Linked DNA regions of Lonchura striata. The protein of the gene in region 1 binds, or shares a complex with, the protein of each later gene. Links are inferred from orthologs where the notes say so. Each region holds a gene or a part of one and is shown in the gene's direction. Other genes may lie near its edges.

Region 1 (16,660 bases):
ACTATTTGGAGATTTTCGCATGACATAATAATTTAATTTGGAAAGGCTAGATCAGGCCAAGACCTCCAAACACCAAACACTTACCTTGTCCTCCATGTTCTGATTCAGACACCCCTGTGGCACACACCAGGCTCACACTCAGTTCATTGACAACCTCAGTGAACTTAACTTCACATTGCCATTAACTCAGCAAAATTTCCTTCTTAACCCCCTGAGTACTTCCATTATTAGTAACTTCTAATAAATTAATATTGCAATGTGATGTTTTCATTGTTTCCTAGGTAGATGTGACCTTTAGGATAGGGAATTTTCTTGTTAGGTATCATGCTGTTCCAGTGCTCCCAGCAAATCTCCTCACTCCAGGAGGAGCTCACCTGCCTTCTGTGTAAGATCAGTTCTCCATTCACCTCAGGAAAAACTGCTTCTGTTGGATACTGCATGGAATTAGATGGGAAAAGGAAAATGCAATTTCCTGTTGGGTAACTTACAGCAAAATCACTTAAAATCCTCTTTTGGGACAGTAGGTTTTCATGGATAAATGGCCATCACCCTTCAAGAGAGGGACATAGTTCTATTCCTTGGGGTCCAGAAAAGAGCTGCCCTAAGGCTACTTATTTCCATGTGCCATTTACAACTCTGTCTGTGGAGTGGAATGGTTGAGTCTTTCAAGAACAAACAGCACTCACCAATAAATGTTATTTGAGCATATTATGGGGTTTTCTAAGTTTTCAGATGTCCTGCATTGATCACATGTGGTGATGGGGGACTGTAACACAGTGATTACACAGCAGAAATGAAGATAATGATGTTCTAAGCTTAATTATGGTCAGCACTTGTCTTTCTGGTAAAAGCAGCCTCATACAGAAACTTGACAAGTTGTCAAAAAAACTTCAATAGTAAAACTGAAGGTTTTACAATTGATATAACAAATATTTTTTTCACAGAAGCATCTCTTTCACAATATCCCATTGACTTTTTCATCCAGCCTTTCTCATGAAAGTTGAAAAAACAAGCAGAGGTTTGTGAAATTTTGTGGTTACCTTTTAAATGCTACTGAGTTTTATTTTTAGCATTTTTTTTCTGACAGAAGTCACCTTACTGATAAGATGTTCAAATTAGCTCTAGGATGTGGGTATTTAGAGCCTGTTGACTCCAGGGGAACTTAAGCCTGAAGCTCAGGTTTTTAAAAGGCATCAAATCCTCATTCAACTCAGTTTATAAAGCCTGTTGGATTCAGGGTAAAATCAGTTTCTAAAATCAGTATATAAATAAGTTTATAAAATAACCATATAAAAGTTGTAGTAGAAATTAATTGCAGTAATTAAATATTAGCCCAATGTTAATTAACTTCTACACTGTAGTAATGAAACTATTTTGTATAATCATGAAGTGATTCAGACCAGGTGACTGGCTAAATACATATATTTATGTAAATACAGATATTTACATTATTTTAATAAATCACTGCTCCTATTCAAAGTTTAGCATGACAAATATGGGAGACTTGAGGGCACATTTGAATCACCTAAAATACTGCTGCAAAGAAGAGGAAAATAAACTCTTTTCCATGCTTCTAAATAATCAAAACCCAGAAAGGTTATTTAGGAGTAAGGGAGATTTAAATTACAAACTAGAGAAAGCAATTACTGTGGTAAAAATAGCACTGGAGTGAGTTCCTTGTACTATCTTCTCCACTGGCTGTTTTGAAGATCAGTTTGGGCAACCAGATTGAACTCAGGAATTGTTTTCTCTGAGTTGCTTTGGTTTGTAAAGAGGACTTCTTGTAAAGGACTTTGGAAAACTCGCTTCCAGCTCTGTTTTCTGTTATTTTCCTATACATACATCAATTCTGTAAAACACTGCTGAAGTTTCTGGTCAGTAACGTGCCCAGAGCTGCTTCAGTGGCAAAGGAAATAATACCAGACTCCAAGCTTGCTTTACTAGCAGTAAGTAAACAAAGTGTCACTTATAGATACGGCCTGAATTTAGGAGCTGAAGGAGTTCATGCCATGAGCCAACATCCAGAAGTGGCACTGAAGTGGGGAATAAGGGACACAAACGTTTTTCCACAGAAAAGAAGCAGATGTGGTGATAGCAGCCTGACCTGGACACTGCTGCAGCACTTGTGCAGCTTCACTGCCACCACTGCAAACTGGGAGCTCTGGGCAGCCAAATCCCCCTGGAGACTGGGCAGCTGGCTCCAAGGATCTGGTGGGTGAGGGAGCTGGAGATGAAGGAAGAGCTTCCCTGGATCCATACCTGCTGACACAATCCATTTTCAAGGTAAGCACAATTCTTTGTTCATCTGGACTGGAGTTTCCACATGTCTGTGACTCATTTGGTAACCGAATAGTTAAAGGAAATTGCATCTACTCCAGCTGGATCTTCTCTACATAAATGACCCGTTTGGCTTGATCTGGTATTGGATTGTTTACGTAACTTCAGTAATTAACCACTATCAGCCTCATTAATGAAACATAAACCACCTCTTCTGCTCATTTATAAAGCATTTGTCAAACAAAACTCAAACAAAGGGCAGAATCTCAGCAAAGTAACAGCCCTCCAAGAGCTACTGAGCCCTGACTGCAAGGCACAGCAGTCACTTTTTTGTTTTTCAGTAGAACTGAAGCAGAAGTGATGGCATTGCCTATTGCTCTTGGCTAACTTCTCCTCAAGCCATCTGAGATCTGTCACATGAGGGCAAGCATGCCTGGACAACTATTTTGGCCACTTCAGTACAAAATACTGATGTTCCAGCTCATTACTGTAAATCATTAAATGATGAAAGCAAGAGTCAAATACTAAATGACTAAAGCCTTCAGAAAACTAATTGCTAATTACAGTAATTGTTGTTCTATGTGAGTTAAAGGTTACATTAAAACAATTATTATTTCATTACAGGATTAAATCTTTCCTGTTGGTAAACTGTTCTGAGCAATATTACAGAAAGTGAAGTATTAACAATACAGATCATGTATCAAAATGATCTAACCTAATCTTTACCTATTTTTGTGTCAGAGAAATAAAATCGTTCAGAGGCATAAAATACACTGGCAAATACATCCATGCCAAAATCTGAGAGATCTGAGACCTTGCATTCCCTTTCCAATTTGTTGAGGAATTAATAAAAAAACCCAAGTTTTCTGTTCCCCCTCTCTTCTATTATTTATAGATCTTCCAAAGGTTCAGGAATGCTGACACTGTTGGGATTGTTCTTCATGGGTGTGGATGAACCTCTCAGTCCCGGGTGAGAAGCAGCCCAAAGCCTTGTGAGTACTGATTTTGTCTGATGGTGTTACTTTGCACAGTGAACAGCTCCCATGTGGCACTGCAGAGAGATGTTCTTTAGTGTGAGATAATAGAAATACTCTTTGTTTTGCATCAAATGTATCAGACAACTACTCATTAGCAAACTGGACGAGAAATAGCTCAGAAGATGCATTTTTTTGTTAAATTCTTAAATGCTTTTGTGGGATTAAATGATGAAATAGCAGACCAGAAAGGAAGAACAATTTAAATCTTTTTAAGACTCATTTTTTTCTTAATCATGAAGTTGTTGGATAGTTTCACCTTGAATTTTCTTACAGGTTTGTAAGGCCAACCTTGAAGAACTAAACATTATGTGAAGTTTCAGTTCAAGAAAACTGAAGATGCCTTAAACTCACCTGAAAGTCTCAGGACCCACAAAATGTTACTGTTTCTCCTGTTTATTCTCTTAAACTTAATCTGCAGTGGCTGAAGGCAGAGTAGGTACAATAAACCCATCCATTCAACCTTGACAAAGTTCCTGGGTATCCTAACACCTCCCCCTTTCAGTTCCCTCTGCCAAAACTGTTTCCCCTTGGCTGGAAGACCAGATTTGTTAATCAGATACTCCAGCAAGGCACAAAGTGGAAGAAAGCAAAACTATCAATTAAGTTTGATTACAATCCCCAGAGTTGGTAGTTCATAGAGAATACTCCTAACTACAGGCACTGCAGTACTTTATATGTACAGCAAAGGGAAGCCAAGACCTCATTTCCATAAAGCAGATCTTGACACTCTATGTTAAGCATTACAAAATAATTATTCTGGAATGCCTTGCTCAGCATTTTATCAGCAGTGGTCTTGCTGCTGAGACTGAACTAACTGGATGTATCCATTTATCAATGATAATGTTTTTCCTTTTTTCCAGCCTGGATTCCATCTTGAGGACATTTGTTTTAACAGTAGAAAGAATATTAGACTCATAAGTGTGAGTGCTGTGGTGCAGTGGGTGACTCCTCAAGATTTATCAAAGCAAGATAATTAGTATGAACAATAAGACTGAGTTCCTTGGTAATAATTCTTGTCACAGGACAACTCTGCATTATCCCACTTTAATCTACCTTGAAGTATGGGCTGGGAAGTGCAAGAGGAGGATTCCTTTGGGCTCCTGGCCCGTGAGTCTCTGTGCTACACTTTTGTTGAAGGCAAAACCAGTGAAATTGTGACAGTAGCTGAGAGCTTGTCTTAACACTACCACTTAATTTTAAAAGCAAGCAGTCAGAAAGTGTTGGGGTGTGTGGTGTGAGAGGGGGCTGGTTTGCTTTTTAAACAGCTGTAACTGCTGAAATAGTTGGGTTTTGAAGGAAGGGCTTCTAATGGAAATGAGAATTGTCACATTCCATTTTTAAAAGCTTGTGCCCAGCTGCATCACCATGGGAGACTTTTGCTTTCAGACACTTAGCCACAATGTTTTTACCTGTGCTGACCACACTTACAATTAATATAATTTTACTGAAAATCCAAGAAGTATTCTAAAGATTTGCCCTTTATTCTGTTCTCTAATTCCAATATCTAGATGTCACTCCATCTGTCACAGACATTGCCATTTGATATTGATCTGTTCATAGAATTCCAGAATGGTTTGGATGTGAAGGGACCTTCAATCCCATCCTGTTCCACCCCTGCCATGGGCAGGAACCTTCTACCATCCCAGGTTGCTCCAAGCCCCATCCAGCCTGGCCCCTTGGACTCTTCCAGGGATCCAAGGGCAGCCCCAGCTGCTCTGGGCACCCAGTGCCAGGGCCTGCCACCCTCACAGGGAAGAATTTCTTCCATGTATATAACTTGAATTTCCACTCTTTCAGCCTGGACCCATTTCTCCTTGTCCTGTCCCTCCAGTCCCTGATGAGGGGTCCCTCTCCAGCTTCCCTGTAGCCCCTTCAGACCCTGGAGATGGCTGTGGGGTCTCCACACAACTTCATCTTCTGAACAGTCTCTGCTCTCTCAGCCTGTATCCATAGGGGAGGGGCTCCTGTGCCCTGAGCAATTTTGTCCACTTTATGTCCAGCTAGATTTCTTTTCTTTGTGATTTTCCTAATGTTAGCAAGAGCCTTCTCAGCTGTACTCAGAACTGTTATGTATTTATCCCAGCACAGAAATACTATTTCTGATTTTCCAAAGATGGCCTGGGAGCAGTTTGGGCTCTGCAGCAGCATTGTTGTTCTGAGTGTCCCAGTACTCTGCTATCCTGCCTTCACTTCTCCTGCTACAACAACCCCATGTTCTGTTTGACAAAATACAGCCATGTGGTTAAGAGTTATTAAAAGCATTAAAACATTAACCTCTCATAACCCCATTTTTCACTTTGTACACACACATAAGTGTTTAATCGAATTGAAGTTAAACACTAAAAAGTTTGAGAGGCCAAATTTATACATTCTATTTAGTTTACACAGAATTGCTGTGATAAGCCAAAGGAATTACAAGGCACCCCTACTCAGAAATGCTCATCTGTTGATTTGTTTAAGCTCTGTTGCTACACACTCAAAGTTTTGGTGACAAGCATTCCCAGCATTTAAACCAAGGATCTTTGTCCTACTGGGATCCTCTCTGTGTCCTGGCGCCACAGGAACTCACTCTGCTGTCCCTTGGAGCTGGACAAATGATTCCATGTCCAGATCTGCTGGAGAGCGGCTGAGCCCCAGCCCTGAGTGGGAGCACGGGCTCAGGGCAGTGTGACAGTGGTGTCATAGATTCTCATCTCTCTCATCGTGGAATTTTATTCCTAGAAGCCAGAATGCCACAGAGGAAATAAACTGATCCTGAAATGACAGTCTGGTACAGCAGTGCTGCCCTCACCTACCCCTGCTCTTGCCTAGGGCCAGGATGGCACCTCTGACACCAGGGGGAAGTGAGTGTTAAATCAGAACTATAAACACAAGAGCTGAACAGGCAGCTCAGATACATCCTGGTGCAGCTCCTGCAGCGATGAAATGATGAAATGATCCTTCACTCTGCCCAGACTGTGGGTTCCTGCGGCTGATTTCCTAGGGATGAACTGGAATTCCCAGGGCCACATCTCTCAATGGCTCATTGAGTGCCTGAATTAAGTGGAACCTCAGGGACTGCAAGTTTGGTTTCACAGAAATCCCTGTGTTGGAGAAAGTGAAAAAGGAAAAGATGGCTCTGGCACACAGAGCTCGTTCCATGGAGCTGTGTCAGGCCTGCTCTGTGAGCCTGCCCAGGCTCTGTGGAAATGGGAGCTCTGGGAGAGGCTTTGGAGGCAGGCACAGAGCTGGGAATGGGAGCAGAGGGAGGCAGCAGCAGGTGCTGAACTGCACACGAGGGGTCATGTGAGGATGTGAGAGTGGGACAGGAAAACCAGCGCTGGCTAGGGCTTAGGGACGATGTGTCCATTTTGGGACAGGACGATTTTACCCAACTTGTTCCATACCCAGGATGGTCCACAAAGCAATATTTGTCAGTTTTCCAAGTGTTCGTGACTTGCCTATTAGGAAAAAGGAATTCCAATAAACTGTCCTAACTTTCTAGTAGTCTCTAATAAGATGAAAAATAGGGAAGGACCAGAAGGTCCTTATATGCTATAACATGGTCTGGGCTTTTATTTCCAAACTAGCAGAAGGATTACATTTCCCAAATTTGCAGAATAGTTCTCATACTTTACTAATTAATCTGATTCTGATGAAATATTCCAACTGCAGCTGCTTACCCTGTTCTCTTTTGCTTTGTGTGCATATTTTGAGATTGTTGATTTTATAAAATTATCTCGTTCAGCACTTCTGCACCAGCCTTGATTATCTCTGGGATCATAAAGAACCTTCATCTGATAGAGCATCCTGGAGTTTTCTCATGTGTCTGTGTAAATAGGGATTTAAATTAGGAATATTATTCAAATCAAAGGCAGTCCTGCTGAAATATTATTGTTGAAAAACATTGTTAATGAAGCTGGTGCTATTGAACAAAACTTTGTGGTACAAAGCCTCAAGGACACCCCAGATCACCAACAGTAGCTTCAGTTAGCAAATAAGAATCAAAGCAGCGAGTCAGCATTGCACAGCTTGTTATTTTGAGTGGCGGATGTTTACTGTTGGAAGAGACAAACAGCAGGATCAGATAAGATGGGAGCCCCGCAGATCCCAGCCGGGATTGATCGCGCTGGGAGGGAGCAGCCGCAGAGATAAGCGGGACCCGGGGTCAGGGCCGCCGGCCCTCCGCAAACAGCCTGTGTCGATCGGCGGCCTCTCGGAGCCGGCCTTGTCCCGGGCTCCCCCCACCGCGCTGGGGCCGGGGCCCGGGGCTCTCGGGGCACGGGGGGCTCGGACACGCGGGACCGCGGCGTGGGCAGCTCGTGGGACGGGGGCACATCCACCTGGGGCAGGCGGCTTTGGGGCGCCGTGTGCCGGGGGAGACCGGCTTTGGGGCGCCCCGAAACGCCCCCAAACCACCCCAAAACCAGCCAAAGCTGCAGAGCTCCGAGCATCCCCCGGGAGCGGCGGGGGCAGCCCGGGCCCCGCCCCCGCTCTGGCCCCGCCCCCGCTCTGGCCCCGCCCCCCGGGCCGGCCGTGGCGCTCTGGCGCCGCCAGGCGAGCCGCTGGCGGATGGCGGGCTCGCGCCGGGCCGCGCCTGCGCACTGGCGGCGCCGTGGCCGCGGGCGGAAGCGGCGTCCCGGCCCCGCGGGTTCGCGTCCGCCCGCGCCCGGCGGCGGGGCCGGAGAGGCGCCGAGAGCGGCTGAGGGGGGAGAGCGGCGGCGGGGCCGCGCGGGACATGGGCCCGCCGCGGGGGTGAGCAGCGCCGCCCGCCATGAGCTGCACCATCGATAAGATCCTGACGGACGCGCGGACGCTGCTGGAGCGGCTGAAGGAGCACGACACGGCGGCCGAGTCGCTCATCGACCAGTCGGCCGTGCTGCACCGGCGCGTGGCCGCCATGCGGGAGGCGGGCGCGGGCTGCGCCGAGCAGGTGAGCGCGGGCGGGGCGGCCCCCGCGCCTCGGCGGGGCCCGGGCGGGGCGGCCGCACCGGCCCCCGCGTCTCGGTAGGCCCGAGGCGGCCGGACCGACCCCCGCGTCTCGTCGGCAGGGCCCGGGCCCCGCGGCGGAGCGACCCGACCCGTCCCGGCTGCGGCCGCACGTGGTGCTGGCGCAGGAGAACACGCAGATCCGCGACCTGCAGCAGGAGAACCGGGGTGAGCGGGGCCGGGGGCGGGTCCTGGCGGGCGATGTGCTGCGGGGCCGCGGGGGATGCTGAGCGGTGTGCGGGGCTGTCCCGGTGGGATGCGCGGCCGCTGGTCCCGGCCAGAGGGGCTTGTCGAGGAGAGCAGCGGCGCTGATGCCCCGGTGGGTCGCGGGTCAGGGAGTCTCCTCGGCCGAGGGGGTCCGCGCAGCCCCACCGCAGTGGCCGGGGCGGGGAGCGGTGGGGCAGCGCCGGTCCCGCAGCTGGTACCCAGCGAGCGCCTCGGGGCTCCTGTGGCTGCCGGTCGTGGCCCTGACGTGCTGTGTTCTGCAGAGCTGTGGGTCTCACTGGAGGAGCACCAGGACGCGCTGGAACTCATCATGAGCAAGTACAGGAAGCAGATGTTGCAGCTGCTGGAAGGGAGAAAACGTGAAGAGGCAGAGCCAGTCTTGAAAGTCCATCAGGCTAATTCTGGGGTAAGGTGGGATGGGGACAGGAGAGTGCTCAAGACCCTTGTCCCCTGCTTGCTGTCATGCAATCTTTGTTTCCATTCCTGGAGTGTCTGTGCCCCAAAATACATTTTCTCCAAATCTTGACTCTCTTTGCTGGTATTTTACCCTCTGCTCCTTTCAGAGCACACAACCAGTAATAGCTGTCCCAGAGGACACTGAGAGGCACAGCCCCTTCACAGCCCAGGTGGAGGCTTTTACTTTTAACTGGGTGGTGAATTCCCTGGCTTAAGCTTAATGTGCCTGATCCTCTGTAGTAAAATCAAAGATGTACAAGTTGTTATAATTCCTATTCAGTAGCTGTAACAAAGGGGAAAACTCCTAAACTCTGTGAACTGTATATGTTTAGTTCTTAAGCGATTTTACTCCCTAGTGTTTTTAAATCCAGATACTCTGTGTAGTAGTCTAAAGTGTCCTTTTTTGTACATTGGGCTCAGTGACTTCAGTACTCTGAGATGTGGCTGCTGATAACTGCTGCCTGTTTCCTATTAGGTATCTATTAACAATAGAATAATGTTACATTTCCATTTAAGACTTAGGAATTGTGTTAGGCATTTTTTAAAATGCATTTTATCTGCTTAGAGAACAGCAGGTTGGTTCAACCCAGTGACATCTCATATCTTGTAGTTTTTTAATTGGAACTGGAGCCAGCCTAACTCCTCTCATGTCTTTCTGTGCACTGATATGTGGCAATTCACTTCTCTTTTCTAAGTTGCTTAACTCATGTGAAGGTGTAGCTGGGTTTGTTTTCCAGTGCCACCCTGAGTGCACGAATTGCTGTTTATCAAGGTTTTACATTTGAACAAAACTTGACAATGCAAAGCTGAAAGGGCTCTGAAGGAATCCTTGAAGGGATATCCCTTGATTGTCTCAATGTCTAGACAAAGTCTTCTGTACTTCAGGTGAAGTCCATGAGTTTTTTTCCTCCCCACCATTTGGAGAACATTAACAAACTGCTTATTTCTTTAAAAGAACTATGTTCTCAGTATAACCATCTTCCTGTTTAGAAAAAATCATAATCTTTCTTCCCAGAAGTCTCTCGTGTTCTCCAGCTGTCTTCTGAATGCTCTAATTTGTTTACATTCTTTCTGAATAATGGACTTCAAAATCAATTCTCTGCTCTGTGATAAATTTATCTTTCAGAGGTAGTAGAAAAACTATGGGCACTTAAAGAAACTCCACCCTGTCACCTGTCACATTATGTGATGTATTGCTCTTCAAGCAGGAACTGTTGCTTCATACTGGAATTTGTCAGTGTTTGTTCCATGTGCATTTCTGACCTTCAGCAAAATGCATTTTCCAGAGGATTATTGCTGTATCTAGACAAATTCTGTAAAATCTGCCTCAGGAGGCTCTGATCTTACTTGCTCTACTTTTGTTGCATGATGTTTTTCTGAGGTAAAGTTGTTTACTCCACACTTGAAATCATCTTTGCATTTATTTTTGGTGTCTTAATAAATTCAGTCAGGCTTTTCTAATAAAGCTAAATAAAATTTGCTGCCTACTAATCATGAACCTGAATGCTGTCTCAGACCTTGGCACACTTGAAATTATTTCCTTTTAAGTCAGGGTGCCTTATCTTGATGCCTGCTGTGTCTCTCTGCACTGTTTTCACTGATAAAGGACTGCTGATAGAGGACAATAAGGTACAAGTTCTTATTCTTGAGTATACAAGACAGAAAGGCTTTCAAGTCCTTGGGAGGAAATTATTAAAATTCAAAACAGAAAGAAAATCCAAAATCAGGAAGATGGAAGTAAGTGATTTATAAGGGATAAATTATGACTGTTGCTTTTGCCTCAACTTACTGAATGTATTAATTTTATGTCTTTTAGGAAATTGAAAGTCAAATAGACAGAATATGTGAGATGGGAAAGGTGATGAGAAAAGCTGTTCAAGTGGATGATGAGCAGTTCTTTAAAGTTCAGGAGAAACTGGCTCAGTTGGAGGTAAGAACAGAGGTCTCCAGACTTTCTCTGTGTTTTCTATGTTCCTGTCAAGGACTTAAAAAAAATTTAGGGATGGGGTCAGGAAATGCAGAACATGATTATTTATTTTTAAGTTTTTAATGTTCGTATTATTTTTGTAACTATATATAAACAAATTAAGCCAGAAGATAAACTTTAAATTATTGGTTCCAGTGTGCCAGCACTGTACTAATGCTGGCATTACAAAGTGTAATGTACAAACTTTATGTATCTGTGAAGGAGTGGGATTGTTTAAAGATCAGCAACTTCTAACTATGAAGTTGGCACTTTTCTGTGATAGTCCTTTAGTTGTGAATTAGCTCATTTCTATTTCAGCAAAAATGTTGATTTTGCAGCTTGAAAACAAAGAGCTGCGTGAGCTGCTGTTGATCAGCAAGGAGTCCTTCGAGGTGGGGAGAGAAGATCTGCCAGACTGTGAAGCCTAGGCCACACAAACCTCATCTCCAAGCCTTCAAGGGACTGTTACGAAACTACCTGACAAAGATTTGTTGTTTCAGGTGTTTCCTTGTATATTTGTTTTATCTTTAAAGTTGTGGGCTGTTTTCTCTGCATTTTTATGAAGTGTTGATGGCAAAAGCTTGCACCCTGTCTTAGTACCTGCAGCACTCAGATGCTTAACTGAAGTATTTGATGTATCCTCCCTTGTGATGGCTCATTTTCTCTCCCTTTGTTATTTTTTATGAGCTTTAGTTAGTAATTCCAGCTGTGCAGATGGCTCTTAAATCCACCTTGTCTGTAGCTAGAGAACATAATGCAGGTTGTGATTATTGTGCTTGCTAGAAGGAGCAGGAGATGACTGAGAAACCACAGTGTGAGAGGCAGGGATGTGGTTTGCTCTGGCTGCACGGGGCAGCTGGGCTCTGCAGTGAGTGACCCTCAGTGTCTGGCTGGCCTGACTGTCACCTGGCCACTGCTGAGAGCAGCTGAGAGAGCAGCAGATGCCAGCAGAGCACTTGAAGGAGTCAGTCCTATTCAGAACAAACTTTGCCTTGTTTTAGGGGTGAAGACTGGGGTTAAGGACCCTTTCTAACGCACACTTTTTTGAAGGATTCCTCTTTCTTGATTGATAGACCTGTCCCAGCCTTCCCAGTGCTCCCAGTTAGCAGCCAGCCCTGCTCTGTTGGTGTGCTCAGAGCCTGCCAGAGCACAGCACCTGCAGATCAAAGCTCTTTGGCCTCCCACAAATTTGGGTTTGGGCAGAGGGAGCTTAGGTCTGCCTCAAAGCCATACCAAACCTCCCTCATACACAGAATTTTAATGTCACATCACAGGTGAGTCTGGTGTTCCATAGTTACTGCAGGGCCTGTATTGTGTGGAATTTGAGGTGCAGTGTTGTAGGAGTTTCTCAGTACTGTGGTATTTTTAAAGACACTTTTATATAAAAAAGATTTCTGTCCTACCCGTGATCAAAGAATATTCTTCCAAGAATGGTAAACATCTCATTTCCACTATTTGCTTACATTTTTAATGCCACTTTTTCCCAAGTGAGACTTTTGATAGATGCAGAAGGTGACTCGTTCCTGTGCTTACTGAGAGACAGTGAACGCTGGAGACATTGTGAACATTTGGAATACCCAGCAAGACTGGTAGATCTAAGGGATTTCTGTACAGGAGTGCTCTTGTATACAATCCTTTTCTATTAGAAATTGTTCAGGAGGGAATAAAAAACCCAATGGGAAAGCCTTTCTCAAGTGTTTTGTGTATCCTGGGGGAATTCCATGTATTCTGCATATTACCAAGCCTTTTGTACCTGACTGAAATACTGCAATGACCAAAATGTTGAACTTTCTCTTTTCTAAATTAATATAATCTGGAATTACTGTGATGCATTTTCATCTTCCCTCTCTCAGTGTAGAGTAACATCCCTCCAACTTGGTCCTTGCTGTGCAGCCAGAAAAAAACCAGAAACTAGATAGCAGTTGCTTTGATTGAGTGTATTAAGTAGCAGGCATGAATAGGCAAAGGAAATTGAAATATATTCACAGAATATCCTGAGTTGGAAGGGACCCACAAGGATGGGGTGCAACCCCTGCCCTGCACAAACACCACAAATCCCACCCTGTGCATCCCTGGCAGCACTGTCCAAACTCTCCTGGAGCTCTGGCAGCTTTGGGCTGTGCCCATTCCCTGGGGAGCCTGGGCAGTGCCAGCACCTCTGGGGGAAGAACCTTTCCTGATCTCCAGCCTGACCCTCCCCTGGCACAGCTCCATGGTCCATTTGCTCCTGTCCTATTCAGGATCTCTGACTGGAACCTGTGACTGTAAATGGCTGGTTGTACACAGTTCCTGAGGGCTGCTGGGCAGTTTCAGAACTTGCTCCACGTGTGTTGGAAACTGGACTCAAGCTTCATGACATGCGGACAAGGCAGAGCATTTTCGCCTGATCCTCTGGTCCTTCAGTTCCAGCGAGCGCAAGGCTCGTGTCCCTCCCTTGAGCTCTGCCTGCCCAGCACGGAGGCATCCCCCCATGGAGGTTTCCTGAGGGCCTGGAGTGTGCCCGCTGGCCTGGCCTGGCCCGAGCTCTCCCTCCCTCACTCGGGGTTCTGCCTGCTCTTCAGCCGGGGCTCTGCCCCTTCAGCCGGGGTTTTGTGTCTCCCCTCAGCCGAGGCTCTCTTTCCCCTCAGGGGTTCCTCTCCCCTCAGCCGGGGTTTTGTGTCTCCCCTCAGCCGGGGTTTTGTGTCTCCCCTCAGCCGAGGCTCTCTTTCCCCTCAGGGGTTCCTCTCCCCTCAGCCCGGGTTTTGTGTCTCCCCTCAGCCGAGGCTCTCTTTCCCCTCAGCCCGGGTTTTGTGTCTCCCCTCAGCCGAGGCTTTCTTTCCCCTCAGCCGGGGTTTTGTGTCTCCCCTCAGACGGGGCTCTTTTTCCCCTCAGCCCGGGTTTTGTGTCTCCCCTCAGCCGAGGCTCTTTCCCCTCAGGAGTTCCTCTCCCCTCAGCCCGGGTTTTGTGTCTCCCCTCAGCCGGGGCTCTCTTTCCCCTCAGCGCGGGTTTTATGTCTTCCCTCAGCCGGGGCTCCCTATTCCCTCAGGGGTTCCTCTCCCCTCCCCCGGTCCCGTCTCCCCTCAGCCGTTTCTCCCTCCCCAGGCCGCCAGGGGGCGCTGCCACCCTCACTGGCCGCCCCCCCATCCCCTGTGGCGCGTGCCCGCGAGCGCCACCCGCCGGGCTCCAGGCGCGCACGCGCGGCCCCGCCCCTTTCCCCCCCCGGCCGCGGGCGGCTCTCGCGAGAGCGCCGTGATTTCTCTCCTACGTGCCGTGCCGTGCTGCTCATGGCGGCGCTGGAGCGGGGGCGCTGAGCTGTTGGGGTGAGTGCGGGCCGGGCGCCGCCGCCGCCCCCGCCCGCCCCGGCGGGCTCCGGGCGACGCGGCACCTACGCCCGCGGATCTCTGCTCGTACCGGGGCTGCGCGCCGGGAGCCCCGCCGGCGTTGCGCGTGGGGTGGGGGGGGTGGTTGGGGGGTGCGGCCTACCAGGCCGGCGGTGCGGGGATGGAGCGGCGGCCGCGGGGCGCGGGGTGCGCGCTGCGCTCCGCGGGGCTCCGGGGGCGGCGGCGGCGCCGAGGCCGCCCTGAGACCGGCCGTCCCGGGAGCCGCCGGGGCTCAGGGCCGCGCCGGGAGGGGGCGGCGCCGCGGGGGCTCCGGGCCGCGGCGGGCGGCGGGGCCGTGCGGGCGGAGGGGCGGCGGCGGCTCCCGGCGTGCCGCGCGCGGCCCCGCCCGGCGCAGCGCGGCCGCGGCCCTTTGTGTGCGGTGAGCGGCCGCCATCGCCCCCCTTTGTGTGCGGGGCGGGCGCTGCCCCCGGCCCGGCCTGCCCGAACGGCCCTGCCGCTGTCACCGGCCGGAGCCGCCCGCCCCCGCGCACGGCGGCCCCGCTGGCGGCGGCCCCGGCGCCGCCCCTCGGCGCGGCCGCCCCTCGCTCCGCCGCCTCCATCTTGGTGCAGCGCAGCGAGCGGGGCCGCGGCGGGGACCGGGCCTGGGCGGCTCCGTCGGTCCCGGGTCGGTTCTCTGCTGTCCGCAGCGATACCCAGCGCCGGGCTCGTCTTCGCAGCGCAGAACCCCTAAAAAATCCGGATATTTCTTTCAGCGACTTTTTTGGGTTTTTTTCTCCATACATTCTTTACAGATGTCCTTGATAGTTCTTTAATTCTTTTTCCCCCATATATGTATTTTTTGCTGACATGAAAAGGACTTTATTGCTGTTGTGGTGGCTCATCTCATGGCTGTCACGTACTGGCTGGGGTGCCCAAGGGCTCTGTGCTGCTTTCCAATATCCATCTAAAAAGAGATGGAGCAGCCTGATCTCCACGGATCTGTGTTGTACGTGCACACTGAGAAGACGAAGTCTTTATCAAATTGTGCCTTGGTCACGTCAGAGAGGGCTGTTTCTGGAAGCACGTGCTCTGATCCACAGAATGAGTGTCCTTGCAGTTGCCTCTTTTTGTGAAGGAAATGGGAAGCAGAACAATGCTGTCATCGGGCAGGTTCCATGTGGGGCTCTGTGGGTGATTTCTGGCTGTGAGCAGCTTCATGTGACCCGCTGTCATTTAGCAGGATCTGCTCAGGAGAGGCCTCAAGAGCAGAGCTCAGCTCTTCCCTGCCTTTGCATTAAAGCTTTCAGCTGTAAATACACAAATGCAGTGAGACTTGGGGGCTGGGCAGCTGCTCAGGGTGTTTACCATTTGGAGGAGTATTTATAGTAGCTGAATTAAAAAGTAAGGAATTTGAGGCAGATGAGCACAGTGAGATTTCTTTTTGCTTGAGTTATGCTCACTTGATGAGGTTTTTTTTTAAGAACTTAAGTGCAGTAAACCCATCTTTTTATCAAATTAGACTGGGTTTTAATGGGAAAGTTTACTTAATGGAAAGGTATGCTTTACTCCACAACTGATAAAATTAGCTTCAGTCATATTTGATCACGTGAGGTGTTTTGATTATTAAATGAAAAAGTGATATATTTTATGGCCAAAATGATAAATGCAATATGATAAGAGTTCCATCTCTAGGAGAGCTCTAATAATACCAGTCTAATTAAATGAGAGAGAAGTACGTGAGAAGATTCCAAGTGTGTCTGTGCAGTTCCTGGGATGCAGTGTGCTCATTTGAGAGCTGAAATGCTGCCCCAAAATAACACTGTCCTGGAAGATTTTGGTAACAGTTGCCCCAGTAATGCTGAGGTGAGAGAAAAACAGTGATACTGTTTATCTTTGCAATAGCTTTGCATCTTCTAATTTATTTTTTAATCAAATCTTCCAGTGCAAAGATTTGAACAACCCTCACCCAGTTTATCTAATCTGTTTCACGTGAGTTTGATGGTCTGGCAGGAAAACTCATTTCAGCTGGAAATTCTCAGTGGTGGCTGAAGGAGATGCTTCAGCTGGGGAAAATCACTGAAATACAAACTTCAGTAAAACTGGAGATGAGTTTGTACATTTGGGGTTCTTGCAATAGTTGCCTCAACTCGGCGTTTTCACTGGGGTGAGGGTGAGACTTTGAAGTGTCTTTGCATTCAGGTTTCAGTCACTTAAATTATTCTTTCAAATCACCAGAGGGAATTCAAAGCTCAGCATAAGTTGTGAAATTCACTTTTCCTGCTACACTGGAGAAATAGGCTTTGTCCATATTTTTTCTCTTTTGGTGTGGGACTTGTGAAATTATTTGGGGAAGAGTCGTGCTTCATGCCTTTAGGTGACTGCAGAACTTCCAGTGTATCTGTGAGGTCAGAGCTGTGCTGCTTCTCACCCGC
Region 2 (16,040 bases), on another chromosome or scaffold:
CTCACATTCTCCTCATGATCATACTTTTTAACACCTAGACGCCCTAAAAATCAGCTCTATCCATACGCAAAGAAAGCCGACGATGTCCTTCACACAGATCCCGGGACGATGCAAACCGTTTCAAAGCGCCCACCGCCAGCAGCGCCACGAGGAGAGCTGCCCGAAACCACCGGCCTGCCCCGGACAGCCGAGCCGCCTCCCCGGGGCGCTGCCCCGCTCGCCGCTCCGCACAACCGCGCTTCCTCAAGCACGGCCGAGCTTCCCCCGCCTCGGCGCAACAGCGGGGCCAGAGGAAGCGCCCGATTCCGGCGGGCCCCGCCGCAGCCCGCAGGCCGAGCGGTGCCCCCCGCCGCCGCCGCGCGTACCTCCACGGCCTGGCCCAGCTCCAGGTCGAAGCCCACCACGCACACGCAGTGCAGCCAGGCTGAGAAGCGGTCCCAGGGCAGCACCGACAGGCACTGATCGGGACTCCCCGGCTCCGCATCCTCCGCGGCCACCACGGCACCGCCCGGCCCCAGCTCCGGCTCCGGGCCCCGCTCCCGCCGCGACATGGCCCCGACCCCGGCCCCGCCGCGCGGCGTCAGGTGACGCGCGTCGCCCCGCCCGCTCCCCCCGGAGCCGCTCGGAGTGGGAGTGGCCAAGCGGGCAGCGAGGGGAGGCCAAACCATTCCTGCGGGGAGCGGGGGGGGGGGTCGGGGGCCGTAGGGAGGGAGCGCCCCCGCGCGGCCCGCCAGGGAAGGCTGCGGGGCCCCGGCCCGGCCCCTGCGGGCGGGCGGCGCGGGGCGGGCCGGGGGCGGCTCCTCTCTCGGGCTGCGGGCGCCGCTCCGGGCCGGGAGCCCGCCCCGCTCTGCGCGGCCCGCCCGGCAGCTCGCAGGCAACGGATCAATCCGCTTTCTGTTCTCTTGGACGTGTCAGTGACAGCACCTGCTGGGGACCCCGTGGCCGCCAAGTAATTAACCGGTGTGTCTCCATCGTGTCCTATGCACCGCTGAGCACGGCACGGGAGGCACATGGAAATACCCCTCTGGCTGGTGGCTGGACAGCTTCACCCTCACAGGAAACTGGGGTAATAAAAAAAAGCATCCAAATCTCTTAAACCCTCTTTTAGTGCCTTAGCCAAAGCCCGAGCTCTTTAATAATATAAGAGCTTTCAGATATTCTTTTAGCACAGTCCAACAGCTATTTATATTTCATTATGAAACACTTTGTAGAGTTAAAAGGGCTAAATAGGTACTTTATTTAACAATAAAGAGAAAAATAAAATATCATTCATGCATCTCCCCCAGACTCCTGACCTCTTTTAATTTAATTATTCACACTAGACTTTTGGTTGACTACTACTAGAACAGTCAGCAGCAGTAGGTGTAGATGAGATGCTACCTGAATCACTACATGCCATTTTTTTTCCTTGCAAATATTAAAACCAAGATAATACATCTATACGTACTTAAAAGAAAATGTATGACTCCTTAGATGCACTGCTTCCTTAAGGCCCATTAACAACATTTGTTTATCTATCGAAAGCAAACTGCTAGAAATTAAAGTATGCTTTGATCACTGGAGTAATTTTCTAGACAAAAGATGAATAAACATATAACACACAAAATTATAACACACAAAATTATCATGGTAATAACTTGAGATACAGCAGCCTTCAGTTATGATACACCATGAGTAGTGAAGTGAATGTTAGATACAAACTGAGATAGGAATGGGGTTCTGCAGTGTGCAGCCTCAGGCAGGCAGGGCTCTGTGGGAAGGCTCTCGCTGTCTCCAGCTTCTTCAGGTATTTTGCAGTGATACCGTGCAAGACTCACATATTTTTCAAGTAGTTAACTCCTAAATTCTGTAGAAGATTACTCCTGACAAAAAGACATGACTAAGACTGAACTTTATTAAGTTCAACTCAGCGCAATGAGTCTCAGTGGAATTTCATTTGCTGTTTCCATTTAAGAATTGAAATGGCCTAGCCAAAAGTTTTTATCACTTGGTTTAAAAGATTTCATGTCACTGCCTCTTATAAGTCTTCCCTTGTTTATATTCTTGCAAACCAAAATTTTTAGCTATTATCATCATGCATGTCCTTCTAGATTTGCTGGCCTCTTTTTGAATTTCCATGTGAATAAGAAGTGTATCTATGTGAAATAATAATAATAAAAGTACTTAGTAAGAGTGATACATTTTAGTAAACAGTAAATTAATTCCACTAGATGCTTAAAAAATAAGTCTTTTGTCAGGAGAAAGTTAAGAGAACAGACATGTGATCCCTGATAAAGTACAGAAGAAAGGATTCTTACCTACTGGCGATATTCCCAATAAAGAGTGATTCAGAAAAATTTTTCACTTACCTAATTTAAATACATTTTAGTTTTGACAAAATATGATTATTTCCTTCAGATGAGAAAGAAAAATATTTCTGCATGTATTGTAACATTTAGAAACATCTGAGTTTCTTCTTCAAGAAGAATCAATGCAGAGATTTCAGAGTTGGGGAACCAACTAACTGAGAGTATTTTGATACAACTTGCAATAAAGCCTCATAAAACACTAGGGCTCTGCATATGGAATGTGCTCTTACAAATCTCCAGGAACTCTGCCTTGTTTTGCAGAAATACAGCCATCTGTCAATATCTGGAAGGGTTTGGACAAGAGACACTGCTAGAAAAAGCATGCCCTTGATGTCAGTTGCTGGAATAAAAATGAGAAAAGGCCAAGGTGGGACAGCTGGGCTCTAAATATCCACAACTGGCCAGTGTTTGAGCCTGCCTTGCTTTCTTCCATGCTCTTATCTTGCTCCTACAGCTGCGCTGTCCTGTGTCTCTCAGCAGGATCGTTTCTATCAGGTAGCAGCAAATGTTGTGTTGGCTGCTGGCTGGCCAGGTTCCATCAGCTTCAGCAGGGAGTGACTGTGCAGACTGCTCACATCCACAGAGAAACACCAAAGTACTGCATAAACATCATCTGCTCATCTCATCTTCCCCTCCATCCCCCGCCTCAAGATTTAAAGCAGTATTTTATTTGTATTTGAAAATTATATTTGGGCTAATAAATACATTCAGTTAAATACACACAGATGCAAAAAGTCATAATTATTTTTAAAGCATCTTTTCCATTTTTCAAATAGCCACAGAAAACATCAAACATTTCAAAAAAGTCAATATTAATTTTGACTGTTAAATTGATATATTAATAGAAAAGCAAATAAGAGCTGGTCACATGATGACTATGTTCTGCTAAAATAATAAAGCAGTGAAAATGCCAGATATTTCAACTTGCCTGATTTAATTTGAAATAAAAAAATACTGCATGTAAAATTAGCTATATATTAGCATAACATGTATTAATTGTATGCATGTTACATTATACTTATGTATATATACCAAATACATGTAGTATCAACATACTATACAATGTACATTATATATATAAACAGATAGGATATATAGCACATAATAATAGATTTTAAATCATTGTATAAAACATTCATATTTATTACATATTCAAAATTGAATAGTACATTCAGTATATGCTCACTACATATATTACATTAATGTAAATATTATGTTGGTAAGACACTCATTTGTATACTGGATACGTGAATCCTTTTTTTAATGCAAACCAGAAATAGGAGCAGGGAAGGATCTGAAAGAAAATTGAATAAATGGAGAACCTACCTGACAAGAGAGGATGAAACTGGTAGTTGCTTATTCTGTCAAAATTAATGCTGAAAGATAACTCACTTTTTTTTTACACAACCAGTCAGAGAGTTAAAAGATCACAAACAGAAAATAAGTCTGAAACAAAAGAATAAGAATAGCACTAAAATACAAATGTGTAACCCCTTCACTAAATCTAGAACCGCTTTTTTTAACACTGGAGAAAACTTCTTTTTGACAGCTCAGTTCAGAATGTTTTAGAAGCTACGTCTGAGGCAAGTTTGTTTTGCAAAAGATACATAAGGATATAAGTAACAGTTCAAACTTTGCTTTATATTTCCACACTGCTCTATACAGCAGAAAATGCCTTCTTAGACTGTAATATTTTAAATGCGGTATGGCAATTATACATGGAATTTGTATTTCTGAAAATCAGTACAAAACTGATTGGATAAATTGTTGATGAATGAGTTTCAGGGATGAGAACTCAATAGAAAACTGCATCTTCAAGTTTCTCCTTATCTGTTTATTCTGATTTCATTATCAGTTTGCATCTTAATTTTTACACTAGAAATAGGACTTTTGCTATACAGCATGCCTCAGTCATTTCAAATGTAACAACTTCTCTGGAATCAGCATCTCCCGCTAAGCAACTGGTTCATACCTCTGCACTGAAAACTCAGTCTGATATATATTAATTATTTTGGAAGCCTTTTAGACCATCATTGCTCCGTAGGCAGAAATCTGGCACTGAGTTGCCTATAATGCTGCTCGGTGTTTTTCTTTCTAAGTCAGTTAGCTCAGAATTCAGGACAGGCTTCCTTCAGCAAAAGATCTCATTTTTTCATCAAGTCATTAAGACTTTGACACACTCAAGCCAAAATCCAGATGTTTTTCAGGTATGCACATGAACTATGTAAGCTGCATTTCATCCGCCTGAAACAGACAGCAGCTCTGCAGGGGACAGATGTGACAGTGACAGTCCCCTGCAGAGCTCCCTTTCCCTTACCCAAGATGGACACGGAGCAGGCTGTTCCTGCCCGCAGTTATGATGGCTACGGTAACATTTCCACGGACTTCCTGCCCAGAAAACGGAGGGGCACGGTGAGCTCCTGCTGCCCGTACCCAACATGGCTGCGAGGCGCCCTGCCCGCTCCAGCTGTGCGACAGAAGCGAGACAGGGGCTGACACTTCTCCCTCCTCATCCTCTGAGACAGCACAGCGGCCGAGCGCTTCACACGGAACTCCGCATCCACCTGTTGCTTTCCACACGTCTGGGATGGACACTTTCTGGTAAGCAGCAGACACATCGTAACACCCATTCAATAATTGTATCCTCATTTCAGAATGCAACCTCTTTCTGTATTTTCATCTTAGCCTTGGCTCTGCCCCTGATAACCTCTGAACTCATCAGGCAATTTGAAATAGGAGCTGAAAAGCCTGAGGGATAACTACACCCACGCAGCTCCACTGAGAGCTGGCACCCATGCAGAGAAGGAAGGGTCAGATTAATGTCCTCGATGAGCAGTGGGTACAGCTCAGCTGTTACATGAGCCATTTGGCAGCGCCAGAGAACTAGAAAGGCACATACCATTGCCATCTGGTTTTCTCATACCATTGCGTGAGCCTGTCAGAGTGGGATTTCTCCAGGGGATGAAGAAGGGTTCAGGAAAACATGATATGCCAGTGGCTTACAGTTTAAATGGCACAGTTATATGATTGTTAGTATAAATACTTATAACATCAGAGAAAGGTATCCACTGCTGTTTATTATTTTCCCTGATTCTCTTAGATGGTAATGGATTTTTTTCATCTCTAATTTTACTTTCAGTCTCCTTTCTCCATTAAACATGTACACAAAAATATTAAAAATGCTCTCAGAAACATTATTTTCATTCCAACACCTGTAGTACCCTTTATCCCCACTTTTTACACTTTGCAATTCCAAAGTGCTCTCAATTATTTCTACTTTTGCAACTCATTCCCTCAAATGTAACTCCTAATGGACCTAAATTTATTCCCACTTTCTCCACCTTCCTTTTATACCTTTCCTTCTCCCTTTGATTAGTTATGGCACCCTGTGTGCTGTAAGCAACAGCCACACTAAATTTCCACTTACTAAAAAAATTAGTAAAATCAAATTATGATTATATTTATCAGAGTAGTACAATCTCATAAGCTGATGAAAGCCATTAAGGGATGTGCCAGGTTTTTTTTTTCCCTGTCAGGAGAATTAAAACTACAGATAAACAGTTCTAAACATTCCACCTATCAGTTTTTTGTTTTTGTCTTCACAAAATCAGACTTGTCTTTAATCTTGGATTTCATTTCTCTGTTTCAAACACAGATCTACAGCCTAGTTTTGCTGTTGTTTTCTCACTGGATTGTTGGGGAAAAAACTAGTCTGTTATGAATTAACCTCCTTTCCCCAAATCACAGAGTAGTCAAAAAGAAAAGGAAAAAAAAATGAAGACAGCCCTGAGATTTTACTGTGCTACAACTAAGAACACACCAAACATGCTTTGTCTCATACACTGCCCTGCCTTACCTTGATCCCTGCTTTTCCCCTTATCCACTGCTGAAGTGCCTGGCCCAGCTCCACTCCTGTCCTCCATGGCTGCCAGCTCTTTCTGCCATCTCCCATATCCCTAATCCTAACACCCTGTCACCGGGTAATTATAGTGCTGGCATGACCCCAACATCTATCTTACAGCAACAATTCCCACTTGTTTGCTTTACAGAGAATGACGGAATTAAAAATGTATTTGGACTGGAGAGACTCGTTTGGCACCGGGTGACCTTGACAAGTGACCTTTCCTTGGCTTCTAGAAAACAGGCATAAATATGACCTTGGATGATGCTCCGTGGTGTACTGAAGGAAGACACAGCACCAGTGACCCCACCTCAGTCCTGTGCCTGCAGCCACTGCTCCAGGAGTGCCCCTGCTCCAGCTGCCAACCTGCAATAAGACATGGCAAACATGGCATGTTTGCATTCCTCCGGCGCCAGGACACGTCAAACCACACCGCGGCTCCCGAGCTTTTTAATCTGCCGTCATAAAACGACCAGACGCGCACAGGGGAAGCAGGAGGATGTTCAGGAGACTCTTGCAGTTTCTCACGCAAGCTCTGCTGAGAACGTGTCACCCCAGCTTGCTCCTCTGAGCTGCGCACGTTCACAGCACCACGGAACATCCTGAGTTGGCATCAGGTCATCGAGTCCAACTCCCGGCCCTGCGCACGGTGCCTGCCAAGAATCCCACCGTGTGCCTGAGAGCTGAGAGCTTTGGCCAAAAGGTTTGTGAACTGGCAGTCTTGGGGCCACAGCCACTTCCCTGGGGAGCCTATTTCCAGTGCTCGACCACCCTCTGGGTGAAAAGCCTTCTCCTAAAATCCAACCTAAACCTCCCCTGACACAACTTGGGGCCACTCCTTCCCGCTTATTTATAAGAGCTGACGGGCTCTGCTCGCCCCCTCCCTCCCGAGCTGAGAACAGCGAGGGCAAAGCGACGGCAGGGGGCCGGGGCTCACTCACCTCAGCGACCTGCCCCGTGCCGGCTCGTCCCAGCCGCGCCCTTCGGGAGGAGCACCCCGCGCCCCGCGCCCCGCTCCCTCCGGCCCGCCGCCCCCTCCCCGCCGCCCGGAGCGGGGCGGGGCCCGCCCGTGCCGCAGCCTCGCCGCGCGCGAGGCGCATGCGCGGGCCCCGCCGGTGCGCACGCTGCCCGCCCCCGGCCCCGCCCCGCCCGGCCCCGCCGCCGCGGCCACACCGGGAAGGGCTCCAGGCGCTATGGCGGCGGCTGCGCGCAAGGTAAGGGGGGAGCGGGGCGCGTCCCGCGCCGCCCGCGGGGCCGAGGAGACGCGGGGGGACGCGCCGAGGGACGCGCCTGACCCGGTTTGTTTTGGGCCCCGCAGGTTGGAGGAAACTTCCCGCGGCCGGTGGCCTCCTGAGCGGCAGAGCGACCGAGCGGGAGCGGCCGGGCCCGGCCGCCAGGCCTCTCCCGCCGCCGGGGCAGCGGAGCCGCGCTGGGCGGGCGGAGAGCGCGGGGGTGCGCAGCGGGCCCGCCTCATGCGCAGTCACCTGCGGAGGGGCTGAGCGGAGCCGCCGCCGCCGCCGCGCCCCGCGCCGGGGCTCCCGGCCGGCACTTGCCGGGGCAGCCCCCGTTACAGCACCGCGGAGCCGCCGCGAGGGACGCGCACCGACCCCGCCGCTGCCGGAGCCGCCGCCGCGGAGCGACCTGTCAGGGCACCTCGCGGGCCGGCCCCAAGAACCCTTCCCACGCGCTGGTTTGTCCCCGGGAGAAGGCGAGTTGGGAGCCTCTCCATGCCTTATCAAGTTCCTTATCTGAGCGGCTCCCAGAAGCTGTAGACCAGTTCAGCTTTATCTGGTGTAAGGGAGAAAACCAGTGTAATTCTCGCACTCCATCCTATATCGAGGACCACCTATTCTGCTGGGGTTTAACACAGGAAGATGGTGAAATGCGGATTGCTGGGTGAACCATTAGGTCCCTGTTGTGGAACGAGGGCTTTGTATTCACCTTCCAGTTCCTGATCTGTGCCGTGTGTGAGAGGACACTAATCTTTCTCCTTCATCCCCCTTCCCTAAACCTTTTCTTGCTTCAATGTTGCATTGGTCAGACTTTTGGTCAGTGTTGTTTACGGAAGGGGGGTGGGAACAAGGCAGTTGAGGTTACAAACAAAAGTACTTGTATGACTCATCTACTTGGATTTAAGACGTTGTATCCTTCTTTCACGGGGCCTTTGCTTCTCTCTGAAGGAATCAGATGCTTTTTCCTATTCTTCCAGAGGAGGATGGATTGAAAGTTGTACATTTTAGACTTTTTTTGGGCCACTGCTGATATTAAAAGACATAATGGGACTTTTTCACTGGATTATTGCCAGAATTAGTTTACACACTGAAATAATGAGTTGTTAGGCCTCTCATATGATAATATTTGTCCTGCTTTAATATAAAGTTGCTGTGGAGGTGTTTTTAAAATTGTGGAGGACGGTCTGCATCAGAAGAGGCTCTCTTCATCTCTGGTTGGTGTGGCAACCACAATCTGTCCTCGATGCCTTCAGCCTTGGCCATCTTCACTTGCCGCCCGAACTCCCACCCGTTTCAGGAGCGTCATGTCTACCTGGACGAGCCTGTCAAGATCGGCCGCTCCGTGGCTCGCTGCCGGCCAGCCCAGAACAATGCCACGTTTGACTGCAAAGTGCTGTCCAGGAACCATGCTCTTGTCTGGTTTGATCACAAGACAGGCAAGGTAAGATGTTCGTTTAAAAACACTGAAACTGCCCATTTGTTTTAGCAAGTCCCTGTAGATTGCGGATCACTCTGGTTTTGCTGTTGTAAATATGGTTGCATAGGGCAGGAGTAAGATTTGTTTTGAAGTGGTAATTTTCCAGGTAAGTTGGTAATTTCTTACTAAGCAGAAACTTTGAATATTGTGAAAAGTATATGAAACTAACAGTTGAAAATGGTTAGTTGAAAGGTTTTGCTTATTTATTACTGGAAATAGGTGAATTTGAGGTGAGATGTGCAAATGTGAAAGTACATTGTGTTGATATAGTGGTGTAATAGTATTTTTTTCCAAATGCAGAGAAACCGCTGTTTTATCAATGTGTGAAAATTGATCATGAGAAGTGTTGAAAAATGGATTTTAAAAAGATACTCTTCTTATTTGACACTCTTCTTACTTGTCCTTTTGAAATTTGGTGGAGTATTTTGTTGGTTCCAATAGGAGGCTTATTACTGGCAACAGGAGTGTAATGGGTGGCATTCGTGAAATAGTCTTATTGTAAGTGAAAATGGTTTTAAAATACATCCTGTGTTCTTAAGTGTTCCTCTCTAAAGTCTGGCAGTCTTGTTAAGCAAAATTGAGGGGTCCTGTAGTGCATGTTTTGTCCACTAGGGATTGAACTGGGACAAGTAAAGTTGTTTTACTTAATGACTGTCAAGTTAATTTTAAATATCCAGCGAAAAATTAACAAAGGGCAGACTGCAGTTGCTCAGCACTGTATTTTATTTCCAATTACATTGATGTTATGCTCTAGAACTTAACATGAACTAAGTCAGCTGGTTTTTTAGCTTCACACCAAGTCCTCCTGTGATATGCAGTCAGTGTAGCCCTGGATTTTAAGAATAATATGGTCTGTAATTCATGCAGATTTTTTCAGTAGTATGACACAGCATGAGAAGCAGTAAAAGGCAGTAAAAGTTCTTAAACATTCCATTGTTAACTATCCTATATTACGCAATACTTCGACGTGATGGGACAAGACAAGCATTTAATTTCTTAAGGCTAGATTAAGGCTTTCAAGTTACCTGCCGGTAATTGTGCAAACTGCTATCTGTATTAAACGTTTCATTAAGCATCTTGCTTTGGCTCTATTGTGTATGTGATCTGCATTCTTGGATTCTAGAAAACTTAAGTGTTTGAAATACTTTCAGTTTAGTCTTTAACCTTTCTTGTTTGATTCAACAAAGTAAAATGTTCCAAGTTATTGCTCTGTTTTTAAATTAAAACGTATTATGCATATAGCTTTTTATCGACGTTTCTTATGACTTATCAAGATTTTAAGACCCCCATGTGCTTTATGGTTACAAATATGGTCCGTCATTTTCAAGATGGTTAATTTGACAAAGCACTGAGTGTCGAGCAAGTCTGCTAACTAATAGACAAGCTTCAAAAAACGTCAGCTATGAGGATTTTTGTTTGTTTTTAAATTTCAGTTAGCGTTGGCTCCTCTAATATAGGTAAAAATTCGTATGCTTGCTCACTTACCTGTTTTAAAATAGCAACTTAGTAGTAGCAGTAATTAAAAGGATTATATTTGATTGTTCTGGAAATAACATCATGTGAAGATTTGACAGAGGTCTGATGAAACTTGCCAAGGTAGGCATTTGTAGCGATAGTAAACAACTAAAGAATGGGTTTGTGATCATGCCCTGGAATCCACTCCTACTTCATGTTAGATGTGGTGCTGTAAAGGTTTAAAGCACGGGTATAGCAGTGAGGAGAATTTCAGATTTGATGCTTGTTTGCTGGCTGTATGGTCGGGCTTTTGATCTGGTTGAGTATTGGAATGGTGAACTGTGAGACAGTTGGAGGGGTGAGGGAAATGTACCATTAGAGATAATAGGTATCAAATGCTGTTGTGAAAAAGCAGGTAGAAGATACTGAGAAATACAGGCATGATCTTGAATTACAAGAACTACTTAAAAAAATTTTGTGGTGGTTTCAAAATATAAACAAAAACATGCCAGAACATTTACGTGCAGGAACATCTATTATCATTGTTTACATAACTGCTAATAAGCACATCTCATTTAGGAAATTGTCATTATCCTATCAATGACCTATATTTAAACCTGCAGAAATTCTCTCTGTCAGAGTATTAGTAAACATTTCTTAGAACCTTATATATAGGGCATTCATCAATTCTGGATTTTTCAAAATATAAAAGACCTTCAAATGTTCATTTAGTAATGAGAAAAAACCTTCAGATATTTCAAAATAGTTTGTTAATGATCTGGGACTACAGTTTCATAACTTGTGGACTTTGGCAATAACAGTTTTGGGCACTACCAGTCACTCAGTCCAGGCTCTGTTGCCTCTTGAACTGCCTTTCAGTTATACTTATTACTCTTTTTTTTTTTTTTTTTAATGAGGGCTTGGAGTTTTATTTTGTTTAGTGAATCATGTGAGTGATCCTGTTTACTACATAGTCTATAAACAATTTTGTCAGTATTATCTGTAAACAGGGGTAGAACCTGAAGAGAGGGAGCATCAATAAGCTATGCCAACGAAAGTAGTACAGAATTTTTTTCCTAAGGCAGAGGAAGGTATGAGCTGAAATACGTTGCATAAGTAGAACTAAGCTGAAGATAACATGTTACTTACAGCTGGAAGATGTGAATGTTTCTTTTGTATAAAGGTGCTTTAATTATGCATGAAAAAAGTTATTTGCCCAGGGAGATAATGTCTATGTAACACTAGCATTATTAAGGTTGCAAATAGAATGAGTTTTCAAGATCACCAATACATAGGAATTAAAAGAAGGTACTTAAAGTTGGATTTGCTTTTTAAAATATTTTAAACATAAATGTAAGCCTAAGTGTGTGTATGATAAAGGTGGAAGGAGATGGTGGTGGGATTTTCTTGGAGTTTTTCTGTGCATAGTAATATTTTTATAGACAACCAGTGCAATGCCTCTTCCTGCCTGTGTTTGTAGATACAGCATAATAACTCCTAGTTAACTAGTGGATTTTTCATGCAATGATAACATTAGAATATTATAATTAGAATTCATTTTGTTTTTTTTTTTTTTTAGTAATTACAAGTTAATGAATCTGGGTTTTTTATAGGTGCCTATAAAAGTGACTCACTATATACGTAGGAAGTAGATGTTGTGCTGAGTATGGAGTGTTCCAAAAAGTGTGAATCAAAGTGAAAGAAAAAGTGGGCTATACTTCAGAAAATCTAAATGTGTTTGTTCAGCTCAAATAACTGCATATGGGAAGAAACTCTTAAAAATTGTGTAACTGAAATAATCTTAAACTTGTTTTTTTGGGTTTTGTTTTCATTTCTAAAAATAAGCAAGTGGAAGACCTTTGAGAATTTGTATGTGACTTCCAGGCTGAAATGCTTCTGACAGATGTTGTAGAAGCTCTTAGGAGAAACCTGAAGCTTCCAAATAGATATCCAGGCTTTCAAAATCTCAAATTATTCAGCACCTGACATTGTTGTGAGTTCCTATTATAAGTACCTTTTATAGGGAATTCATTGCCACAGTTTACCAAAGGCTCTGAGAAATTGTGAAAAATATTTTCTTAGATCAAAAGCACCCCAAAGAACCAGTCATTTTTAATAACTGAAAAAAACGGTGTAGGCACAAGTTGATGTGTTAATGGTAGCTAATGCTGTTGTTTTCATTTAATTCAAAGTGGATACGAATTGAATTGAGCACATTCATATATAGGTGATGGAAGTGGTAAGTAGCATATTGAAATCCGTGGTCCCTGTAACAGTAAAGGAAATTTGTTACAGCTGTGCATTATGACTTCTAGACTTATAATATGTGAGACAAAAATACTACAAAATACTTAAAGAAAACAAAAACAAAACAGATTCCCTCTCCCCACCCAGTAAAACCCTCAAAAAACCAAACGCCAAAAGAACCAACCAAAAATCCAAGAAGGAAAACCCAACCAATCATACCAAACCCCAGCAACTGAAAACAACCAGCCCAAAGGCACAGCCAGTTTAAAGTGATCTGAAGGACTCGGTGACGTTTACTCTGGTTGTGTTTGGGATGACACCAAGCCTGTGAGTGTCGGTGTGGTGGGGGTGAGTTGGGCTGCTCAAGGGCAGGGCTGCCACTCACTGGGACCTGCCCTGCTGACTGAAGGGGCAGACAGGAGCCTCAGGACAAGCACGAGGCTGCGCTTGGAAAGGAAGAACTCTTTGCAGCTTATTAGACCCTGCCTAGCATACTGCACTTAATTTTGGACCACTAATGCAAGAAATACATTGACAAACAGGAGTTGAGATTAGATAGTCTTTTTTTGCTGTATTGTACTAGGGAGTAAAGTAAATTGATATGAAAGAAAGCAAACAAAATTAGTAAAGAGGAAATATGTTACTTGCTTTACATTACATAAAATGTTTTGTGGATATTGAGAACTTGGCATGAGGCAGGAAAGCACAGAACATTTTCTGTGGATGTTCTGTTTGTTCAGAAGTATTTTAGTAAATTTGTCTTTAAAAACTAAGTGGGATATGAAAAATAGTATTTGGAATTGCGGGGTTTTGGTGGGAATATTTTTTTCCTGCTGCTTCCAGTAGAGAATCCTGTGTGATACTCTTGCCTATTTAGTGCTGATCTATATAAAGTTGTGTTTAGTTTCCCATGTATCAGTAGCACTTATTTTGATAGATGTAGTGTCTGTTATTTGTTTTTTCCTCTATTATATCTTTTCAACTTTCTGTTAGGATTGTTGTCCGAGAGATGAACGGATGTTTTATTTTTCAGTACTCTTGATGTTTCTGTATGCTTACAGTCTGCATTGAAGACATTGTCTTCGAAACAGTGAATGTTCCAAGTGCCCTGGGGGACTGACCTGGGATTTGCTGTAATGCACAGAGGTGAAACACCAGTGCTTAGGTACTTCTGGTAAGAGGGTGATGTCAGGCAGCCCTCACATACACCTGTTAATATTTTTATGTAAGTGCTTTTCACCCTGAATGAACCATCCCATTTTACACTGATATGATCATGAGAATAGTATGGGGTAGGGAGCTCTTGCTTTCAACCATCTTCAGCCCCATGGTTTTAGGAGCTGGTGTAGGAGTGAGGGCAGCCATTTATAGTAGAGGTAAGTCAGTGCTGACAAGGATTTCCCTGCAGAGATACCATCTAGAGCCACTGCTGCAGAGTTAATACTGTAATTCTTGGAGCTGATCCATTGCAGTCATGCTGCATCTATCCTGAGCCAGGAACACCAACACATTGATTAGGCTTTAAAAACAAACAAAAATCCCTTTTGTATTTGCAATGAATTTTTACAAACCTCAAATGAATCGGGTTACTTAGCTGGAATCAAGGCCAGTAAATGTGTTTTCCTTAGATTTCTTATGGGATGGTTTGGGTTTGTACCTAGTCCCAGGCTTATAAATGCAAAACCTTGCTTCCCTACATTTTCGTTATATAAGGTTGTTACTGATTTTTTTACTTTCTTATGTGTTAGTTGGGCAATCCAGTGATCATTTGCAGGTGGATTTACATGGCACTGGAGAAATACTTTGATTTGGCTTTATCTTCTCATTTTTCATAATATATGTGACAGCTTCATTTGCTTATTTATCTAATGAAAGTAACTGAATTTATGTATGCTGTAAAGGGCCGTGTGGGTGAGGAGTGTCTGTGTCACTGTGATACTTTGGTTGTGTTGATTTGAGTCTGATCTAGCTAGATTTCTGCAAAATGTGTTGATACATACTCAGCTGTTTTGTTGCCTTTTGGGTTTTGTAATTTCTTTTAATAGATAACATTAAGGGAAAATGATGAGTGTTTTTGGAACCAGGACAGTGAAAAGGAAGAAAGAATGCTGTCTCCATCCCTCTAGCTAGCAATTTTACAGTCTATTGCTACTAAATTATATGACTATTTATTGTCTCTGGATTTTCTTTTGAATTGCATCAATACTTGCTTCCTGTTAATGTTATTCACTTGAAGTGAGTTTGGATTATCCAAGAGCTCTGAATTTTGTTAGATCTTACTGTGACCATGCATTAATTTACCCAACTTGTCTGTCTTTCTAGAAACATTTCTGTTGTGGCAGAATTTTTGGAAAAAGGCTCAGCATTGTCACATTTTTGTTGAATATAGGCAAGTGTTTTTTCAGTCTGCTCTAGGAATGGGAACATCAGGCAGAGAGATGGCCTGTAACCATCTTGCAATAAGACGTATCTCTCTGCCAGGGGCTCAGAACAGTTTCCTCCTTGAAAATGAAAATCATTGTGCTGGAGCCAGACAATTAATTGGATACAATTTTCCTGTTGTGTTGTACCAGACTTGTGTGTGATTGAGTAATGCCTTAGAGTTTATTTCAGTCTTGAGAAAGTATAAATAAATTATGAACTTCCAGCAGGCTTATAATAGAAAGTCCAAAATCCTGTAGTAACACTGTAGTTGAGTGGAAAAACACAGAAAATGCTAGCAGGAGTTTGACTTCTTTTTTTTTTTTTTTAATTTTGTAAAAAATAAACATAAAAAGTACAGGGATTAATTAAGAGTAGTTTAGGGCATGAGGAGTTTGTAAGATCTTTGCAGAGCTAAGGAACATGACTATTGATAGTTGAACTATTGTGTGTAGTGAAGGGAAATACATGCTATGCATAGAACTTTTAGGTTATAAAACAACATTAGTCAACGATTGGAAAGAATTAAGAGTAGATAGATTCAATTGCAAATGTTGTAGTAGTGTAAAATTTGAGAACTTGTAAATAAATACAAAAAATAGTGACAGTATTGTGCTATGTTAAAGTAAGTTTTTCCCCAGTAGGAATATCTTTAATTTTAGTTTTCACATGATAATTCAAATGTGATGAAAATATTTATTACAGAAAGTCTTCAATACAGAAAGCAGACAATGTCTCATATATGTATAAAACCTATATAAGAACAGAAGGGTGATCTTTTGCTCTTGTGTTAAGATAGTATTGACTAGAAATCTAAGAATTAAGTTACTAGTGCTGCATATTGTCATAATTGCACTTGTAGTATTTCTTCCATATGCAAGAACTTAAGATAGAAAAGTTATGGATGCATGTAACCATGTATCATGTAATACCCTTCTTAAAGGAAGGACTAGAAATGT

What was found.
Region 2: the proteins of SIKE1 (region 1) and SLMAP are in contact, whole or in part, in a crystal structure (PDB 6AKM), measured with the Homo sapiens proteins. The link is inferred for Lonchura striata from reciprocal best matches to the Homo sapiens genes SIKE1 and SLMAP. Residues at the interface, in NP_079349.2 of Homo sapiens: Ile5, Ile8, Leu9, Ala12, Lys13, Leu16, Leu19, Arg20, His22, Asp23, Ala26, Glu27, Leu29, Val30, Ser33, Ala34, Leu36, His37, Val40, Met43, Arg44; in NP_001291349.1 of Homo sapiens: Leu168, Tyr171, Leu172, Glu174, Ala175, Arg178, Glu179, Met181, Leu182, Lys185, Thr188, Leu189, Leu192, Leu193, Ile195, Thr196, Ala199, Ser200, Thr202, Ser203.

The regions. Positions count from the first base shown.
Region 1 is NC_134632.1:1,910,264-1,926,923, forward strand, and holds SIKE1 (suppressor of IKBKE 1), read left to right. Parts: upstream 1-7,944; 5' UTR 7,945-8,067; coding exon 8,068-8,226; intron 8,227-8,344; coding exon 8,345-8,450; intron 8,451-8,770; coding exon 8,771-8,913; intron 8,914-10,779; coding exon 10,780-10,893; intron 10,894-11,267; coding exon 11,268-11,357; 3' UTR 11,358-12,612; downstream 12,613-16,660.
Region 2 is NC_134614.1:12,310,100-12,326,139, forward strand, and holds the start of SLMAP (sarcolemmal membrane-associated protein), read left to right. Parts: upstream 1-7,800; 5' UTR 7,801-8,724; coding exon 8,725-8,922; intron 8,923-16,040. Other genes in the region: protein DENND6A, read right to left, coding at 366-551; uncharacterized protein LOC110471692, read right to left, coding at 4,712-4,946, 6,560-6,615, 7,191-7,349. UniProt on the Homo sapiens protein: Associates with the striatin-interacting phosphatase and kinase (STRIPAK) core complex, forming the extended (SIKE1:SLMAP)STRIPAK complex.